Xenopus tropicalis: one gene and its partners. The protein of the gene in region 3 interacts with the protein of the main gene of each other region in a biochemical or structural test. Links are inferred from orthologs where the notes say so. Each region holds a gene or a part of one and is shown on either strand. Other genes may lie near its edges. The genes, in order: sh3gl1, sh3gl2 and dnm1.

Region 1 (6,629 bases), on a different chromosome or scaffold from region 3:
GTATTGTTGGTAACTTTGTAATACCAGCCCCGGCTTTGGCTAGTAAAATACCGACCAGGTGGCAACCCTAAAATACACTGCAGTTCATCTCAATTCCCAGACATATTTTCACAACACATCTCATATTTAAACAAAATCATTTCCTGGCGTAAATTCTTTGTTCAGCTGTGTATTTTCCTCCACAAAACTGTAGTAGAAAAATTCTCTAGAGAATTTTCATCATGAACTAATGAAGTGAGAAAGAAAGAAATTGGCAGGGGTGAATGAAGTAGATATTGAGATGCAAAAATGGCTGCCTGGTCTTTATAATGGCAGTTCTCTGGCCTGAACTTGGAGAAATTTCTCTTGCTGAAAATCATTCTAGTGCTTTTAATAAATTGGCAAAGATTCACTGAAGAATTTTATTCTGGAATTTACACCAATGCAAAGTTAATCAGCCAAAACCTGCAATCATCTTTTAATAAATACCTGATGTCATGGCAAATTTTATTTTGTGATAAAAACATCTAGCGTATTATTTTAATGACTGGGTTGCAGGTCCCTTTTAGTATGTTTCATCAACTCTAAGAAGATTGGTCATTGACATTCCCAGAATAGGACATGAAAATCAAATACCGTATTTTCCGGCGTATAAGACGACCCCCAACTTTTGCAGTTAAAATATCCTCAATCTCCCCCCCGCAGCGTCCTAAAGCTCGTCCTCCCCAACATCATCCAGCTACCCCTAGCGTCCTCCCCAACATCATCCAGCTCCCCCTAGCGTCCTCCCCAATATGCTCCAGCTCCCCCCAACATCCTCCCCCACATACTTTAGCTCCCCCCAACATCCTCCCCCACATACTTTAGCTCCCCCCCAACATCCTCCCCCACATACTTTAGCTCCCCCCAACATCCTCCCCCACATACTTTAGCTCCCCCCCAACATCCTCCCCCACATACTTTAGCTCCCCCCAACATCCTCCCCCACATACTTTAGCTCCCCCCAACATCCTCCCCCACATACTTTAGCTCCCCCCAACATCCTCCCCCACATACTTCAGCTCCCCCAAGTGTCCTCCACCACCCCTGCTGCGTCCGGCTGTTTCCTCCGGCTGCTTCATCCGGCTTTAAACGTAATGGCTTCATCCACCACCCCTCCCGCTCGCCTGCTGCTTCCTCCGGCTGCTTAGGTTGCGCCCCGTGCGCGCTGACGTGACGCGTATGCACAGGGCGCAACCTAAGCAGCCGGAGGAAGCAGCAGGCAAGCGGGAGGGGTGGTGGATATAGCCGATCCCTTTAAAGCCGGATGAATCAGGCGAGCGGGAGGGGTGGTGGAGGACGCTGGGGGGGCCCTGCAAGCAAGTACCCGGCGTATAAGACAACCCCCGACTTTAACCCAGATTTTTCGCCGGAAAATATGGTACCTTCAGTTTTGGCTAGCTGTGCAATATTTCACATCTGTATCTCTCTTAATATTACTAGATAGCACTTGCATAAAACACTGATAATTTTTACATAACCTACCACAAGAATAATATTTAAGGGCAGGGGTACACAGGGAGATTAGTCGCGCCGCGATTTGCCGAAGTCTCCCGAAGTTTCCTCTCAAGGCGACTTCAGCAAATCGCGGCGTTGTGTATGCCATCCCACCGGTGATTTGTATTCTAGCCGGTGGGATGGCATTGCGGGGAGATTAGTCATCCGCGACAACGGATGTGTGTGTGTGACTGCCCTAAGAAAAAAAAAAAGGGGCATTAAGACTTTAAATTACAGGGCCACTAACACTAAAAGTGAAAATACTTGAATCAATTTTAATGGGGATTAAAGCTTCCACACTTAGGGGTCTATTCATTAAAGTACGAGTTTGAATCCCGAATTGGGAAAAATTAGGATAAAATACGATAATTTCTGATGATCGCAAATATCACGAAAATGCTTACGAAAAAATAATATTAGTCACGATAATATCATATTGGTGATCCAAAAGTCACAAAATTTTCGTATCCGAACGATCATAAACTGCGGGAAAACCCTTTCTGACTTTGATCCTTCTGTGCTTGTTTTTGGAAGCCTCCCATTGGACTTCAATGGCACTCTGCAGCTCCAACCTGGCCCAAAGAAAGTCACAATACCGAAGCTTGAATGAATCCAAAACTTTCGTACTCGGGCCGACAATACGATTTTGTTGCGTAAGTTTTGTCACAAAGTACGAAAAATTTGCGCAACTATACGACAAAGTCGCAGAAAATAAGCACAGTACAATCAAATACAATTTTTTTTTATTTCGTACCTGTCGTACTTTAATAAATAGGCCCCATAGTATTCATATTAATGCAACTTATAATGAATAATACATTTTTTATTTACATATCTGTGACCCAGTGGAACAAAGCGAAGCCTTTCATAGCAGTAGTTAGCCACCATTTGGCTCACTTACTCTCCCTGAAAGTCTTTGGCTAATCACACCCCAAACCCCCTAAAGTATTTTTTCTAAGTTTTCATACTGTGCATATTTTTTGCGACTTTTTTTGTTAATTTGCATGGCTTTTTTGTATTTTGTGACAGAAAGTGCGACAATTTGTGCGACAAAATCGTATTTGTTGCGCTGAGTATGAAAGTTTCAGATTCATTAAAGCTTCGGTATTGTGCCTTTCCTTTGCCCAGGTTGGAGCTGCAGAGTGCCATTGAGACCTATGGGAGGCTTCCAAAAACATGCACTGAAGGATCAAAGTCAGAAAGGTTTTCCCGCCGTTTATGATTGTTCGGATACGAAAATTTCGTGACTTTTGAATCGCCAATACGATATTATCAAGACTAATATGATTTTTTTGTAAGCATTTTCGTGATATTTCAGTTCATCAGAAATTATTGTATCTAATCAGAATTTTACCCATTTCGGGATTTGAACTCGTACTTTGATGAATCAGCCCCTATGTCAATGTAAGATTTCTGTTTAGCTCAAATTTGGATATCGAGACACACTGCTGCTTAGGGACAGAACAGTATATATTTCTCATGCAGTCGTTTATATTGACTTCTCCATTAAGGATTATACTTATTTATGCAATACCTGCAATTATTTATTGCAGTCATGTTATATAAGTAATGTATGCATTCATCCTTTAGAGGTATAAATAAATAAATGGCATATGACCTGCCTTTACATAAAGGCATTAAACCCATGGTATAAGGCACAGTTTATGTGACACACACGTGCGTGTGTGTGTGTGTGTGTATAGACCTTCAAGCCCTATTGGAACTTAAATGGCATCCCCAATTAACTATATTAAAGCTTCTGAAGCTAACAATTACATTTTTATCATAATTAAAAAATGACAGGATTGCACAAGCCTCCACTGGAATTCAACCTTTGGCCTGAGGGCAGGGCCATACAAAGGCATTAACCAGATTTGGTCCAAGAAACTGAAGAGTGTACACACAAATGTAGTTTTAGCTGCAAGGTAGGCTCTGCCTTAATGGGCACTGGGTTGCTTAACATGAAAAGCAGCACAGCAATCCTATGCTATCACCAAAATTAAAAAAGAAATTCTAATACTATTTTCTCCTAATTAAAGAAAATGTCCCCACATCCAGAAAAGACTAAATGGACACTACTGGCTTTTTTTATAGTCAGCTCTTGGCCAAGTCTGTAAATTAAAGGAACAGTAACACCAAAAAATGAAAGTGTATAAAATGAATGACAATATAATGTACTGTTACATTGCATTTCTACAACTGGTGTGTTTGCCTCAGAAAGACTACTATAGCTTATATAAGTAACCTGCTGTGTAGCCATGGGGGCAACCATTCAAAGGAGAAAAGGCACAGGTTACTTAGCAGATAACAGATAAACCCTCATTATATTGGGCTTATCTACTAGTTATCTGCTATGTAACCTGTGCCTTTTCTCCTTTTTTCCAGCTTGAATGGCTGCCCCCCATGGCTACACAGCAGCTTATTTATATAGTAGCTTTTCTGTAGCAAAAACACCAGTTTTTTGCAGAGCAACAGCACATTATATTTTAATTACTTTAAAACACTTTAATTTTTGATGTTACTGTTCCTTTAACAGAAATCACGAGTGTAGAGCGCACAGTAGGGAATACACAACAAATAGATTTACAAATTTTCAACAAGAACACCCCACATTATATGTTTCTAAAACGTTAGTATGCTTATCTTTTGACTTAATTGCTTCTATGACTTCTTTACACAATGTTTACGTGCATACACAGCGGCACTAGAGCAGCTTCTCCGCCTCTTCCCACACAATGCACATTCCATTCTCACAGGTCCCGAAAGTTGTGTAAGCAAATTTAGACAAACGTATGCCGATATTCGTGTAAAGCGAAAGCGACTCTAGAGTGCGAACTTTACATGATACAGATGTACATCCCGCCTCCCCAAGCCCTCACCCAACAAAAAAGAATGCACAGAGCTGGTGTCTCCGGGGACACAGTTTGAATACTTCAAAAGTAAGACTTCGCAGTTAACATCATCTGCCTTCAAAATACATGTAGCGCTCACCTGACTTGCTTTATAAAACTGCTTTTTAAGCCCGGCTACAGACATTGTTGCGGTACACTAAGATTGCAGGACTACAGGAATCGCGGACAAAACTGTAGAGCCTCTCCCCAGGCTCCTCTCTCAGGATATTACATGGCAACCGCTTACTTCCGGTATAAGGCAGGAAACGGGGGAGGATAGCAGAGGCACAATCTTGAAGTGTTGCGTTTAACTATGAGCACAGTTTGCGAACAATAAATCATTATATTTGATTCCAGGGGCATATATTATTTAATCAAGATAAATATGTTATTTTTAATGTTGCACGTCTTATTATTTAATTAAAACAAATATGTTGGGTATTATATTTTATGTAAATAACAAGTGGTATTTTTCTATTTTAATAAAAAGTAATGTCACTGTGAATAAAAAAATACAGTGAATGATTACTTTTAGTAAGTTATTTTGCTGTGTTTTGAATTCAATAGTATGTCTACTGTTAAGGTCCCCATACACTGGCAGATCCACTCGCTTGGCGATGTCGCCAAGCGAGCGGATCTTCTCCCGATATCCCCCACCTACGGGTGGGTGATATCGGGAGAATGCAGGATAATTGCCTTGGGGCCAAACGATCAAATTATAATGACGGGCATAGGTAAAGTTGGTCTGGGGTCTGCATCAACGAGCCGATCCAACTAGATTTTTTAGCCTGCCCGATCAAGATCTGGCCGATTTCAGGCCAGATCTTTCTACTATGGGCCGTGTATGGGGACCTTTAAGCTGGCCAAGCGAGCAGATCTTCACCCGATATCCCCACCTAGGTGGCCAAACACAGGCCGATTCTAGCTACCGAGATCGGTCCCTTAGACCAATTCGGAAGCTTATCGGTCCATGTAGGGGCAATGACGATGGGCCTGCCCAACCAATATCTGGCCTGAAATCATCCAGATCTTGATCAAGCATGTTTCATTTTTTATCGGATTGGGGACCGCATCGGTTTGTTGAAAAATGTCTTAATATATCTGTATGTCATTTGTGTATAAGTGATATTTAAGTACTAATGAAGAGATAAGGTTTCCTTAAAAGAGAATGAACACAGAGAAACAACAGACAGCTGAGAACAGAACAATGAGGCACCCACACACTAAAGGTGGCCATACACGTAAAGATCCGCTCACCTGGCAAGGTCGCCAAGGGAGCAGATCTTCTCCCGATATCCCCACCTACGGATGGGCGATATCGGGGGAATTTAGGATAATTCGGTCGTTTGGCCCTGGGGCCAAACAATCGAATTATAACAACTGGAATAGGCCCAGTTAGTTCGGGGACCGCATCAACGAGCCGATGCGGTCCCAAATCCGACTGAATTTTTGAAAATCAATAAAACATTAATTAAACCCAATAGGATTGTTTTGCATCCAATAAGGATTATTTATATCTAAATTGGGATTAATTACATGGTACTGTTTTATTACTACAGAGAAAAAAGAAATCAGTTTTAAAATTCTAAATTATTTGATTAAAATGGAGTCTATTGGAGACAGGCTTTCCGTAATTCGTAGCTTTCTGGATAACGGGTTTCCGGATAAGGGGTCCCATACCTGTATTATGTTTTGGCTTTGTTAATCTGAAGATCCTTTGCAACTCTACATAAGGCCATCTCAGTGGAGTGCACAGGTCAGCTATCAGACCAGCAGATTATGGGTACAAAGAAAGTTAGTAAGAAAAAAAGAAAAGAAAACATAAGACATCTCAGGAATTTCGAGGCTACAGGTGAAATAGAGACAGGGTCGTAGTTAGGCAGGAGAGTACAATTTAGCTTTTGTAAGAAAAAGGCTTGATGCAGGCCTGTTTAAACAAGAAGTTAAGGTGAAAACTAAGTAAGCTTTATCAGAAAGGTCTATGTAAATACTGCCATAAGCGCTTACAGTAATGCTGCACTATCAAAAGAAACACAGGATTTCTTGTCTCCTTTTTTGTAAACATGTTAGGGTATCTGACTTCCTCTCTCAGAAAAATCCTTCATTCCCAGAGCCAGAGTCTGCACAACTCTTCCCTCTCCTGCTCCCCCCTCCCATAAGAATTCCTAAAATTCACTCCCCCCACCCTCAGGAATGTATGATCTAAGCTAGCTATAGGCTAGA
Region 2 (6,703 bases), on a different chromosome or scaffold from region 3:
GTACCTCCAATAGTAAAGGCCCCCAATACACAGTGCCCCCCATAGACGCTACTTCTTGTGGCTCCTGTTCCTTATGCGGCTCCTGCTACGGCGGTGACAGGCCCTTTTATAAGGTTGCGCCCCGTGCGTACGTGTGACATCACACGTATGCACAGGCGCAACCTTATTAAAGGGCCTGTCCCCGCCATACGAGGAGCAGAATAAGAAGTAGGAGCCACAGGACTTGACGGAGCCAGAGCGCTTGGCTGCAGCCAGCGCATCCCGCTGGCCTGGATAGTTTAATGAATGTTCTGCATTTTCGTACAGACAGCGGGATGCGCTGTAAAAACCGGGACTGTCCCGCGAAAAGCGGGACAGTTGGGGGGTATGTTATATAGGGTGGTACAGATGTTGCTGGGACTCCTGAACAAAATGATGGCATGGTGCTATAAAGAAATATACATGTTGGAACCCCTCAGCAATTCTACTTTTGCTTGTCCTTTAACTATGACATTGTTTGGGTTTGAATAGCCTTAACAGAAACTGTATATAAGTGCATGCAAATTATCTGTAAATGAAAATCAAATTAATACAGACATACTGTATGTCCCTGAAAATAGCTAGACCCCAGTGCACCTGAATGTGTTCCATTACTGGCAGTTCTATCTACATACGGAGCTGCCTACAGTATGGCAACATACCGTATACTGTATTGGGATGGGGGGACACTTTAGCGCAGGCTGCAGATAAAGGCGAAGAAAGATTCTTTGCACATGCACTAGGGGTATATTTACCATTCTGTGTAAAAAGTGGAGTGAAACATTACCGGTGATGTTGCCCAGGGCAACCAATCAGCAATTAGATTTCAACTGCTATGGCTGCTATGAGCAACATCACCGGTAATGGTTTACTCCACTTTTTACACAGCATGATAAATATACCTCTAAGGAAGGGATGTATAGTAGAAACCAGTATTTATTAGCAATCACAGGGGTGGCCACTGATCAGCTAGGGATTTCATCTGTGGGTACTATACAGGTGACAACGAAGAACCCCTATTTTTCAAATCTAATTTTCCCCACCCTTTTTAACACCCAGTAGATAAGCGTTCTAAATGTACAGTATTGATATGAACTATAATTCCTGGAAATGTAAGTCCAGCATTATGCATGTTACAAGCAATGTGTGACAATTATTTAACAAATATTGAACCACTACAAAGTAATGTTTTATCACACAGTCACCTTTCAGCATAGTTCAAGCACCAGTAATGTAGTACACACGTAGCACAGGGTGTTTCAGGTTACCCTACACTGTTATGGGATGCCTGTGCAGTGAAATTGTCACATCTCTCTGGGGACCTCATCCTACTATTTCCAGTACACTAGCTCTCTACTGTATCTTGTGGTTAAACATGTGCACCTTGCAATAGCATTTTTTCCCTTTTTTACATTAAGTTTATTGAATTATTTAACAACCAGAAACAGTGAAATGACAAAGATGCTATGCTTATGATTATGCTGTGAGGTTTTGCCCCCTAGAAGAGCCCAAAGCATAGTAAAGTGCCCAAGGCTAATGGTCAGTTAGTTTGAGATTTGGGGAGTGCTAACTTGCTTTCCTAGATATCCCCTAAAGCCTAGACTGATAGCCAATGAAGGTACCTAATGTAATTGATTTACTGAATATTGTTGTAAATATAGTAGAATGAGTGATATGGTTCAACAAATGTATAAGCTAAGTATTAGCTAAGCAGGGCTTGAACCCAAATAATTTGAACATTGAACAGCAGCATCAAATTTGGGAGTGGGGGACAGACTAGAAAGACATTTAATTTAAAGAGAATGTAAGTTTTAGTAGACTTAAGATAGGAGATCCAAATTACGGAAAGACCCCTTATAAGGGATACCCCAGGTCCAGTGCTTTGTGCTTGGCAGTGATGTATGCATTGGGGACAGACAGCTAAAAAAAAAAAACTGTGTCACAGCCGGGCCCCCTTTAAAGCGAGGATATCGTCCGGGCCGGCACAACAGTACCCCCTGTGCCCCACTGATGGCGGCCCTGCACTCACATACATAAACTATATATACAACCACTAATACTAACTGTAGATATTAGTATCACAATAGCCTTGGATATTCTGATTGTTAAAGAACTCATCCAGGCCCCTCTTAAAGGCATTAACAGAATATGTTTCCTATCTGGTTTTATAGCGAGAAATATTTGCACCCAGAAGGTGATAGAATCCCCTGATGCGCCGCCACTTGGGGGAGGCCCCACACAGGGGAGGGCAGGTGGGAGGAGCCAGGCGGGCTGCCTGCTGACGTCACGGTGTCCCTGCATTAAGGCGGCAGCAGCATCACAGGATTACTGCCATCCGAGCAGGAGAGGAGAAATTCCCTTGCAGTCCCGAGCGAGGCCGGCCATCTGCACCTCTCACCCGGACACCAGGCAGCAACAACAGCAGCAGGAGGGGACCCGGCCATATTGCAGCATGTCGGTAGCAGGGCTCAAGAAGCAGTTCCACAAAGCCACTCAGGTAAATCAAGCGATTTCATGGCTGCAGCCCCCTGTCATTCTGCAGAGGGGTCCTTCCCTTTTCCCTGTCGCCCTGGCTCTTGCCTACATTATTTTGGGAACAACGACTATGACACGGATTCATCTGTTCAGCAGGTTTCGGGGCATTTGTGCAAGGCGAGCAGCGCTCTGGCTGTGTAAGGGTTAACCCCCAGGGGCATCTCCAGGCTATTTTTATCGCTGCAATTGTGATTTGTTGCTATATGGAGTGTGTGCATCAATACATCTGATTATATGGGTGTAATTGCTAGAAATCCCCCCCTCCCCCCCATAATAGATGTAAATACTAGCGCAGGATCCGGGGGTAGGCTGGAATTGATACTCTGCTTTCCCATAATATATATCCCATGGGAACCCCCACATGACTGTAGTAAGGATGGGGCTTGGTACCCCACTGGCTGACTGATAACCATGATACACACAATAAAACTTCAGCATGCCATGGGTTAAACAAAAGACAATGCCAGCTGTCATGGAAATCCAGGTCAAAATGAAATGTATTGAGGTAACTCAGTAATCTGCCTCATCTTTGTGGTTTTATTTCTATGGTGATGCACAGGCAGTAAATGCAGGGGAAAGCTGTGATCCTAGCAATGGTGATAAAATGCAGCAGGGTTATCTCTCTGTCTCTGTGTTGGAGGCGTGCAGCAGCTCTCCTGTGTATCACAGCACACTTGGATAAAATGGAGATTAGGAGATAGGCACAGCATAGAGGGATTACTAACTGCTGAAGCCAAATCATGATCTTAGATTTAGGATTTACATCAGTTTGTCTGCAGTCAGTGTTCACACAGAAATTCTCCCATAGAGGTCACCTCCTCATCCCTACTGCTGCCTGCAGCCAAAAGCTCCATGCAGAGCTATCTGATATCAGCTGCATTATTAAACAGGTTGGGGAGGTCTCCTCTCTCTCTCGGCTCTTCTGCAGGAAGGATGTGATATTGCAGTTCTGTTTTTTTAATCCCCTCTCATAGGGACACTAGGACATGATTTCAAAGTTACCTTTAATTAGGGAGTTTAAAGCCTCTATTATTGCTATTGTTTGCCTCAAGCCTTTCACTGTATATGCCGTAATTTTCAGCATCACGTATAATGACTAAAGCAATATGCTTTATACCTGCTGTGTAATAGCATTTCTCATTAGTTTTTGCACATTACCTGGTTAAGGTTGCTACCGGCTGCTATTACACATACCTAGTTGGTAAAATACTGACTCTGCCAGTAAACCTGCAATACCGGTTCTGACCTTTGTCATTTCTAGTAAATGTAGACTCTCCTGTAGGTACACCACCAGCCTGCCCAGTTATGCCCCAATCAGGCCTATTTATTTGCCCTCTTACAACCAGCTTCCCCTGATTCAGGAAAAGTTATTGCTATATTTTATGCTTGCTTAATGGAATCAGTTTCTTGGATTCTTGGTGACCTAATTTACTTGCTCTTTGGCAAACAACAAAATCTCACACTTGCTTTTTTGGAAGGAATTCTAAATATACTTTCAGGATCAGAGTTGCAGGGCTCCAACAAAAAGCCCATTTTGTATTATAATAAAAGGAGTAATGTGATGACATAACCCTGTTAAATGCACCCTGAATTAATCATCCAGGGAGCAATAGAAAACTTATCTTTGCACTCAGTGGAATAAATACCATGAGAGAAAGGAATACAATCTGCACCAGGATCTGCCCCCCAGCCTCCCAATGGCCCAGAGCCCTGCACATCCAACAGTGGCATATATAGTATCTGTTCTTAGAAAAGGAATGCAGGGGCCCTTCCCATGTTATTTTCCTTAAGTAGACCAAAATATTTATAGGGCAACTAGCATAAGGCAAGATATGACCAATATTATGTACAAGGCTGCTGTACATGCCTGTAGGTACAGATGACCTCTAAGGATTTAGTCCCCTATTTTCATTGCTGGTGGCATCACTGGGCATGCATGATCTGCTCTAGTCACGAGTAATAACTCCAGCATGCAGGCCACACTGAATACATGCATTGCTTCTGTCACTAGGAAAAGAGCTGACACAAGATGAAGGAAAACTTTTCATTCATGGCTCTTCATTGTCATAGGGCCCATGTACCCCTAGGCTGGTACGACTCTTTTAAGACAAGTTGTGAAGCCCCCCTCGCCCATGTCTGAGTGCAGGAGTGGTGGCAGAGGGGGTTCTCAGTTCGAAGATAGGAAAAGAAGCTGCCTTGGGGCTGGTATGGTAAAACCTAGGCATCTAGTACATTATTTACCAAGTGTTGATTTCTGTCATCTGTCACTACATTTTATTTTATTAGAAAGCCTGCCCAAATGCAGGGGTCAAGTGTAGACACTGAAATTAAATAGTTAATAGCTGATCCATTATTGAAAAATATTTTAGAAAGCCCTTTAATTGTGACTACATTTGTATAACTGTACATCAACTTCAACCAAGTTGCATTGCACAGTCTGTTTTTATTTGGTGTGGGTTTTAATATAAAATATTCACTGGCTGAAATTCATATGAATCTTCGACTGTGTTGTGGAAGGTTTGTAAACTTGAACAAAATAAAGGAATAAAAGGTTTAGAGGAGTTTATCTGAAAGCTCCAAGGGTAAAATTCATCAATAAATTTTTTTTTGGTTCAGTTTTCTTGCTGAATCAGCAAAACAGCCGACATGCAGTTTACTTTTTCCTGATGGGAAGGTTAAATTAACAGCACATCAATATCTGAATGACTGAATTACTTTCCATCAAAACCCTACTGACCCATGAGTACATCTCTAAATGTATAGTAACATTCTTAAAGGAGCAGGCACCTTTACAAACATAATTTCATTTACTACACCATACATAATGTCTTCATTTTGTAATGTATTATAAAATGTAGGTTTTTAAAAACAAATTAGTTTTATTTTCCTCCCCCATTTTAATTTGTTAATTAGGTTAACTGCCTTTTAAACTGTTAATGTTAAAATTAGATACATTTCTCAGGAGCATTTGAAAAATGTCAGCAACAAATGTAATAGTTATTATGTTGCAGACTAAAAGCCCAGGAAGTATGCTTCAAATGTAACAACTAATGTATGAAATTGTAGCAGTTTAAAGGGTTGGCAGTCTGGTTAGCAGAGCTGCTGGTGGAAAACATAGGTAGGGAAAATTAAACACATTTAGTGCAAAATCAGTATGTTAACTGCTGTCACACTGCTCATTGCTATAAACCTAGCTGCCAGTTACTACAGGTCACTTTCTCTGGAACCCAACTCACACATTGCATCAGTATTCACAGTATTTATTCTTTTATTTGTCTCTCCAGACCTCTTTGCTGCCAGAAGCAGTAACCTCTTCCCTGCTTGACTTTGTTGACTTGTCTTGTATGCTTGACTCTGCTAATATGATACTTTGTCTTTGCTTTATAAAAGGCCTTGGCGGGGTTACACCAGCCTCTTTTCCAGTAATATTGTGTGCACCTGTTTGTTCTTTGTCTGTTTCATGTCCCTGCAGCCCCAGACCCACTATATGTCATTCTAAAACTCACCCACTGCTTCCCAAGTTCCCTGTCCAGTTACAGAGCCCATAATCCCATGTGCTGTGGTTGGCTTCCAACTAGGAGTTTCTATCTTGTTCTAATGCCTGCCTTGATTCTCTCCTACATGCCAAAACATGGCCCTTGATAAAACTGTCCATAAGGTGTGTGGCCAAAGTGCCTTGTATAGGGCAAGCACTGATGTGAGTGGTGTATGTAACCTATTACAAGATATATGGAAAATGCTGGTGTTAAATAAGCAAAGGATAACAATAATAAAAGACCAGGAAATAACCTATAGCTCCCTATCTAAGATTACTAGAACAGCTGACACTTGTTCTAACAGTTACCATTTTATACTGGCTGGCATACCTTATTAGGAATATAATATGAACTGGAACCCACAATAGCATATGTAATTTAAATAGCACATTCAAATAGAAAACCTTGGGTTTCACTTTATCATTTTTGGCTCCCTATAGCATACTTTGCTAAATCTATGAATATTGGGCATCAAACTGTTCAGTAGATAGAAATTGTGAAATGTCTTTGCTTTAAAGTGGATAAAAACAGGAACTGTTGGTGTGCAAAGCTTATTATAATAGTGGGTGTGACTTATAATTATGGGAGGGGCTTGTTTTTGCAAGCCACGCTAT
Region 3 (6,577 bases):
AATGCACATTCCCTGGTCCCCTGTTTCATAATTAAATTGTCTATGCTAGTGCATGTATTTACAAAAAACAGGGGGTTTTAGTTACAAAGTTATGATCATAAGATTGGTAAGCCACCATACCACGTTAAGGTAAACCCAGTATGGTGGTCCATTTATTTATTTATGGTGGTCCATTTATTTACCTCTGGTCATATTTTTCAAAGACTGCCATTCTTGACCTGGGGGCTGGTTTGAGTCAGAGGGCGTAGTCACTCCCATGCCTTCAGCTTTTATAGGGAGAGATTGCCAGGACCACAGTTTGGTCCTACAGGCTTGCAGCTTGTAAAGGAGAAGACTGCCCATTATCCAACACCCATTTTTTTAAAGGCATAAGACCACCATTAAAGGGACAGGTGTGGGGGTGCTACACCCACATGGAAGTAAGCCATTCTTCCTGCAGAATAACTCTGCTAAAATACATAGATACAAAAAGGAAATCTACCCTGTGCTGGTGCTTTTTTTCAGGGGAGAGGGGTAACAGTTTGAGATCCAAGTGACAATATTCACAGTGAATGTCTAACAAATTAGCACCCACTAGTTACACTTTGCTACCACCAATATACGCTATCATAATGGCTGAACATACAAAGTGCTGTGCATTGTCTATACATATGAATACAAGGCTGGCAAAGCACATACTGCTCGGTTCTAGCTTATAGGCCTTCAGCTACTGTCCAACTACAAATCCCAGAATCTTACCCCCCAGAAAGCCTTGGTCTGCATATAGCTGTAATGCCAACAGCGGCTGAGGGGATACAGACTGAAAGGTCTTTTTGCCATCATGTCTTCTCTTACTATATCCATCAGCTGCATCCCTAGAAGTTACTGCCCCCTTGGGAACTTTATATAAGAAAACTTTATTCATTTTGTATCAGTCAGTGGCCCATCTGCCTCCCCCAAAGGTTGCTGCCTTCCTCCTCTTTACCCACTATGCCCCCAGCCTTTTCCTACAACTGTTTGGCCCTTATATTGACCTCCCTAATTAGATATCTCAGTATATATATATATATATATATATATATATATATATATATATATATATATATATATATATATATATATATATATATATATAGAAAAAGGCTGAGGCACACACTTATAGGGATTACAACCTGGGTGCAAATCAGATAAACAATGTAAATATGTAAAAAATGCTGATGCACACCAGGAACATTTAATCAAAAAAAGATACTTATTTTATTTAGATCAAATAAAATATATATTTGCCTATTACACCCCCCCCCCCCAAAAAAAAATAACCCCCCACGTCCTTAGCACATAGAGATTATACAGCCAGGGTAAAGCACAAATCTCCTGCTGGTTACAGGAGCAGCTGGTATCCCTTATTGCTTCCAGCTCTCTCCAGAGACTGCGCTCACAGCCTGTAATCTCATTTAACCCTACAGTTCATTTGGAGGCTTTGCTAGTGTAAAGCAGGTAGCAGAGTAATTAAGCGCAACACATAGCTATTGGCTAATCACCCAGCATCTGATTTGCCATTACTAATTAAAGGGACATTTCCAACCCAAGACCTTTTTTGGAATCTCTAACCCAAAACCTTCTGTTGTGGATGTGGCTGTTTATATTCTCTGCACTGCTGGTTGTGACTGCTCAGGGCTGCCACAATGGATCCCTGGGGCAAGACAGAAGATGGCAGCTCAACTGTACTCAACAGGCCGGGCATTTTTCAGCAATGAGAAGTACTGGCCCAGGGTCTGAGGTTACCCAATACATTCACTGGGGACACCTAACAAATTAACCCCCCCCCCAACGAGCAACCCTTTTCCTTCTTTTCACAGGCTATTGCATTTACATATAACTTTCAAACCACTGACAGTGAAAAGTTGCATAGAATTACTTTTTCATTAATTAGATAAAGACATTGTATTTGGCTGTAGTTCCCCTTTAAGGCTATGTAATATGATAATTGTACAGCATAGCCTTGTTCCTGCTCAGGTTTAAAGCTCTGGGGCACATCCTGTTTAACAGAGACAAAATATTTATTCAGTGCAGAATCCCTGCACCTTTTTCCCATGTCAGTATCCAATTCCATCTGACCCCTTCAGTCAAATACATAGGGACGGTGCCTACTACTCCCAGTGTCACCTTGAGGAGCCAGCACTCCCTGCAACTGATTAACGCCAGTCCAACTGCACCATCACTGCCTAATGCACCAACCAGGGATATCCCATCACAACCAAGCAATACACATAATGATTGCAGCGTCAGCCTGGCAGATCCATTGAGCCATTACTCCATGTGTGTGTGTGTATATAAAGATAGATAGATAGATAGATAGATAGATGATAGATAGATAGATAGATGATAGATAGATAGATAGATAGATAGATAGATATATAGATAGATAGATAGATGATAGATAGCTTCCATATGTCTCTGCAGGCTGGAAGGAGTCCCAATGTATTTGTCAATGTAAACAAAATGCCGTCACATTAGAATTGATATAGAGGGCGCTTTATTTATTTTAAATAGGATACTTATATTAAGTAGGAAGGGGGGGGGGGGCAACTGCTTGGTCTAAAAAAGAAAGGTGCCTTAAGCCCCAAAAGACAGACGTCCTATGTCTTAGCCCAAAAACAAATAATACTGCAGTGCCAGTTAAAGGTGCCCTTAACGCAAAGGCTTCATTCAATTCATCCCTCATCTTTGTATCATGTATTTGCCTAGTTCTGCTCTGTACAGCAATGGGCTGTATATGGACTTTATATCAAGGCATATTTACCCCCTGTATAAGCAGACTGATAACATTGGTCCTATAATTCCCCCCCCTCCCCCTTCCTTCATTGCAGAAGAGACACACTGTATCCTATAACACCTCCCCCATCTTTATTTCTCCATTCCTCTCCATTCGCCCCTATAAAGCATGTTTATATCCATGCATCCTAGGTACCCCGCTAATAATATACAGTCAGGGACCCCCAGGATGCCCTGCTGGGCGATGCCATGGAATGCCTGTTCTGTACAAGGACAATGCCATATCTGATGACCCCTCTCTGTGCTGTGCCTGTTGGACAAGGTGAATCCTACCCTTGGGTCTCAGATTGCACACATATCCATTATTCATCGTTATTCTATTCGACCAGATCGCGATAAAACGTTCTAGGCAACAGATCGCGATAATAAAATGCCAAATAAAGCCCAGTCGCCATTGAATGATATCTGCTAATAAACATATTATACTGCCCCCCTCCTCATCTCCTTAGGTTATTATAATGCGGGTAGGTGAGCCATCATCTTCCTTACTTACTTGCCAACGAAATTCTCCAGAACCGAGCTCTTTCCAGCGCTCTGACCCCCAACCACAGCGATCTGTGGCAGGTCCAGGTTGGCATTTTGTCCTATGGATGAAAAGGCATCTTGAAGCCGGTTAACCAGAGGAATCAGCTCCTCCATTCCTCGGTTGCCCATGATGGAAGGCTGCCTTGTGTCTGCCTCAGCCTGGGAACGTCGATCTAATATGCTTCTTACACCTTTTCCCCAGTGACAGAGAAAGGCAGCGGGGACAGATGTGTAGGACCCCCTAAGATCGACGTTCTCCTGCTTCTCCTCCTCCTGGATGTGCGCTCTGCGCCTTCCCCAGACTGCCAACTCAAGCGCATACGCTGCTCCTTAGGGATTTAAACGGCAATGTGCAACTGCTGCCACAAGAGGGAGCCTAATGCTAAGGAGTGTGCGCTAAGGCAGCACTGACAGGATGATGAGGGGGTGGGATTTTAACTGCATTTTGCTTCTTCCGCCACTAGAGGGAGCGTCATGCTAAAGAGTATGCGCTAAGGGTGCAGCAAAGTGTAATGTGGATTGTGTAGTGACAGATTGTCACTTGCAGCAATGCTGTCAACAAAGGTGGCTCATGTGCAAATATGCCTTTCTTGGTACACCAGGAACTGGAAGAAAGCTTTAGCCCCAGATGATGTAGAAAGGAACAGATATTGTATAAAAAGCCGGGTTAGGGGGAGCCCTATTACTAACCCTGAAATTCAATATAGGGGCCTTCTTACACTTAGGGTTGCCACCTTTTGTGGTAAAATATATTTTCTATGTATTTAGTTTCTCCATTAATAACATGGGGATCAAGCATAATTTTTACCAGCCAGACTGGTAAAATAGCAACAAGGTGGCAACCCTAATTATACCAGGACTCATCAAAAACACTCCAAATCAAGGCAGGAAGTATAAGCCAGCACTCACTGATTGCTACACTCCTTCTGCACATGAGTTTATGTAACCCTTTAACAGCTTTTGTGCCACCAGTAATCAAATTTTTAGGCACGCTTGAAGAAGTAAATGACCCCCTTCCTCTCCATACTGTTGTAAAAATGTTTCAGCATCTGATCCGAACAAGGACAGGATTTGCCTTCCCAGAAGTGAGTGCTCTGTTCCTGGGATTTCACTGGGAGTGTTGATTCAGCATCATATATAAATGTTATGTACTATATACAGGCACAGATATAATACCCATCTGCCATGCATGGCAAATATGTGATGTATAAATTTACATGCCTGCTCTGAGACAGCTTTTATTGAACTGGCCTGCTAGTGCCACCTGCTGGCTGAAGCTGAGATTGCAGCATATGTACTATTCTCCCCCTCCATTCTTACAATGGAGTCATTCTATAGCAGGGGTTGGGAACCTTTTTGGCTGAGAGAGCCATAAACACCACATATTTTAAAATGTAATTCCACGAGAGCCATACAATATGTTTGGCCGCGGATGCTGCGGGGCAAGGTAGGGTGTGTCCCAAGGATGCCGGATGCGGAGGAGGGTGTGGCCTGCGCTCGGTGGATAAAAGATGTGTTCTAAGGCTTAGAACATATCTTCTATCCGCCGAGCGCAGGCCACACCCCCGTTATTTATTTTATTAAAGAGTTGGCAGCGAGCCAGATGCAGCCATCAAAAGAGCCACATCTGGCTCTCGAGCCATAGGTTCCCTACCCCTGTTCTATAGGGTTATTACCTACACAATGTACCTGTCATTGCCTTTATCCTACTGTTAGGTAGGTACAGGTATGGGATCTCTGATCTGGAAACCCAATATCCAAAAACTATTATGGGAAGGTCATCGTTCATAGACTCCCTTGTACTTTATCCTGAGAAAGAGATCATGAATTGGTGGCAAAACAATCCTACTGGGTGGTCAGGTTAACTTTTAGTATGCTATAGAATGGCCTCTTCTTAGCAACTTTTTAATTGGTCTTCATTTTTTATTTTGTATAGTTTTTTTTTAATTATTAGCTTCTTCTGACTCATTCCAGCTTTCAAATGAGGGTCACTGACCCCAGAAGCCAAAAAACTATTGCTCTGTGAGGCTACAGTTGTATTGTTATTGTTCCTTTTTATTACTTATCTTTTTATTTAGGTCCTCATCTATTCATATTCCTGTCTCTCTTTCAAATCACTGCCTGGTTGCTAGGTCAAATTGGACCATAGCAACCAGATAGTTGTCAAAAATCGCAAATAATAAAAACAATTACAATTTTTATTAGAATAGCATTCTCTACGTCAAACTAAAAATTATTGTATAGGAGGCTAAATTTATGGTGATCCAAATTACAGAAAGATGCCTTATCCAAAAAAAACCCAGGTCCCAAGCATTCTGGATAAAAGGTTAAAAGGTCCCATGCTGCACTTTTTATTATAAGGAAGGAGAAAATTATATTCTAACTCTTAAGTAACCAACACAAAGAAATCTAACAGATGAAATTTAACTAAATCCACCCACACCATCAGCTGTGTGACATTCACTGCCATCTCTCTGCATATTTGTATTTATACATATTGTTTCCCTTAGACAGTAGAGCATGAGGGTATAGCTTATTGTGTGCCCAGAACATTCCTTCTCTGTATATTTGTATTTATACATATGTGAGGGAGGTACCATATTCTTTCCCTTAGACAGAACAGTATGAGGGTACAGCTGATTGTGTGCCCAGAACATTCCTTCTCTGTATATTTGTATTTATACATATGGGAGGGAGGTGCCATATTCTTTTCCTTAGACAGTATAGTATGAGGGTACAGCTTATTGTGTACCCAGAACATTCCTTCTCTGTATATTTGTATTTATACATACGAGAGGAAGGTGCCATATTGTTTCCCTTAGACAGTACAGTATGAGGGTACAGCTTATTGTGTGCCCAGAACATTCCTTCTCTGTATATTTGTATTTATACATATGGGAGGGAGGTGCCATATTCTTTTCCTTAGACCGTACAGTATGAGTGTACAGCTTATTGTGTGCCCAGAACATTCCTCTGTATATTTGCATGTATACATCTGGGGGAGGTGCCATTTGCCATGGTGTAATATGGCAGTAGGGGGAGCACCAGAGTGACCTGCTGGGGAAATCTGTTCTTATTCTCCTGTTTTCTGAGGTGCTATGAAAGGGCTGAGTCCTTGTCATAACATATGGTCGCCGTGCAGAGCAGCAGATGGTAGGAGAATATTCCTGCAGCTCAGCCCAATGTTGATCTGTTCTTTACCAATGGGGCTATTCATAATGCACTGACCAAAAATGTC

What was found.
Region 1: the proteins of dnm1 (region 3) and sh3gl1 form a complex in vitro, tested with the Homo sapiens proteins (2 studies listed by BioGRID and IntAct, with this or other methods). The link is inferred for Xenopus tropicalis from reciprocal best matches to the Homo sapiens genes DNM1 and SH3GL1.
Region 2: the proteins of dnm1 (region 3) and sh3gl2 form a complex in vitro, tested with the Homo sapiens proteins (2 studies listed by BioGRID and IntAct, with this or other methods). The link is inferred for Xenopus tropicalis from reciprocal best matches to the Homo sapiens genes DNM1 and SH3GL2.

What each region holds. Positions count from the first base shown.
Region 1 is NC_030677.2:93,851,419-93,858,047, reverse strand, and holds the start of sh3gl1 (endophilin-A2), read right to left. Parts: upstream 4,589-6,629; 5' UTR 4,552-4,588; coding exon 4,507-4,551; intron 1-4,506. UniProt on the Homo sapiens protein: Implicated in endocytosis. May recruit other proteins to membranes with high curvature.
Region 2 is NC_030677.2:118,224,307-118,231,009, forward strand, and holds the start of sh3gl2 (endophilin-A1), read left to right. Parts: upstream 1-2,437; 5' UTR 2,438-2,470; coding exon 2,471-2,515; intron 2,516-6,703. UniProt on the Homo sapiens protein: Implicated in synaptic vesicle endocytosis. May recruit other proteins to membranes with high curvature. Required for BDNF-dependent dendrite outgrowth.
Region 3 is NC_030684.2:22,790,499-22,797,075, forward strand, and holds the start of dnm1 (dynamin-1), read right to left. Parts: upstream 3,643-6,577; 5' UTR 3,469-3,642; coding exon 3,308-3,468; intron 1-3,307. UniProt on the Homo sapiens protein: Catalyzes the hydrolysis of GTP and utilizes this energy to mediate vesicle scission and participates in many forms of endocytosis, such as clathrin-mediated endocytosis or synaptic vesicle endocytosis as well as rapid endocytosis (RE).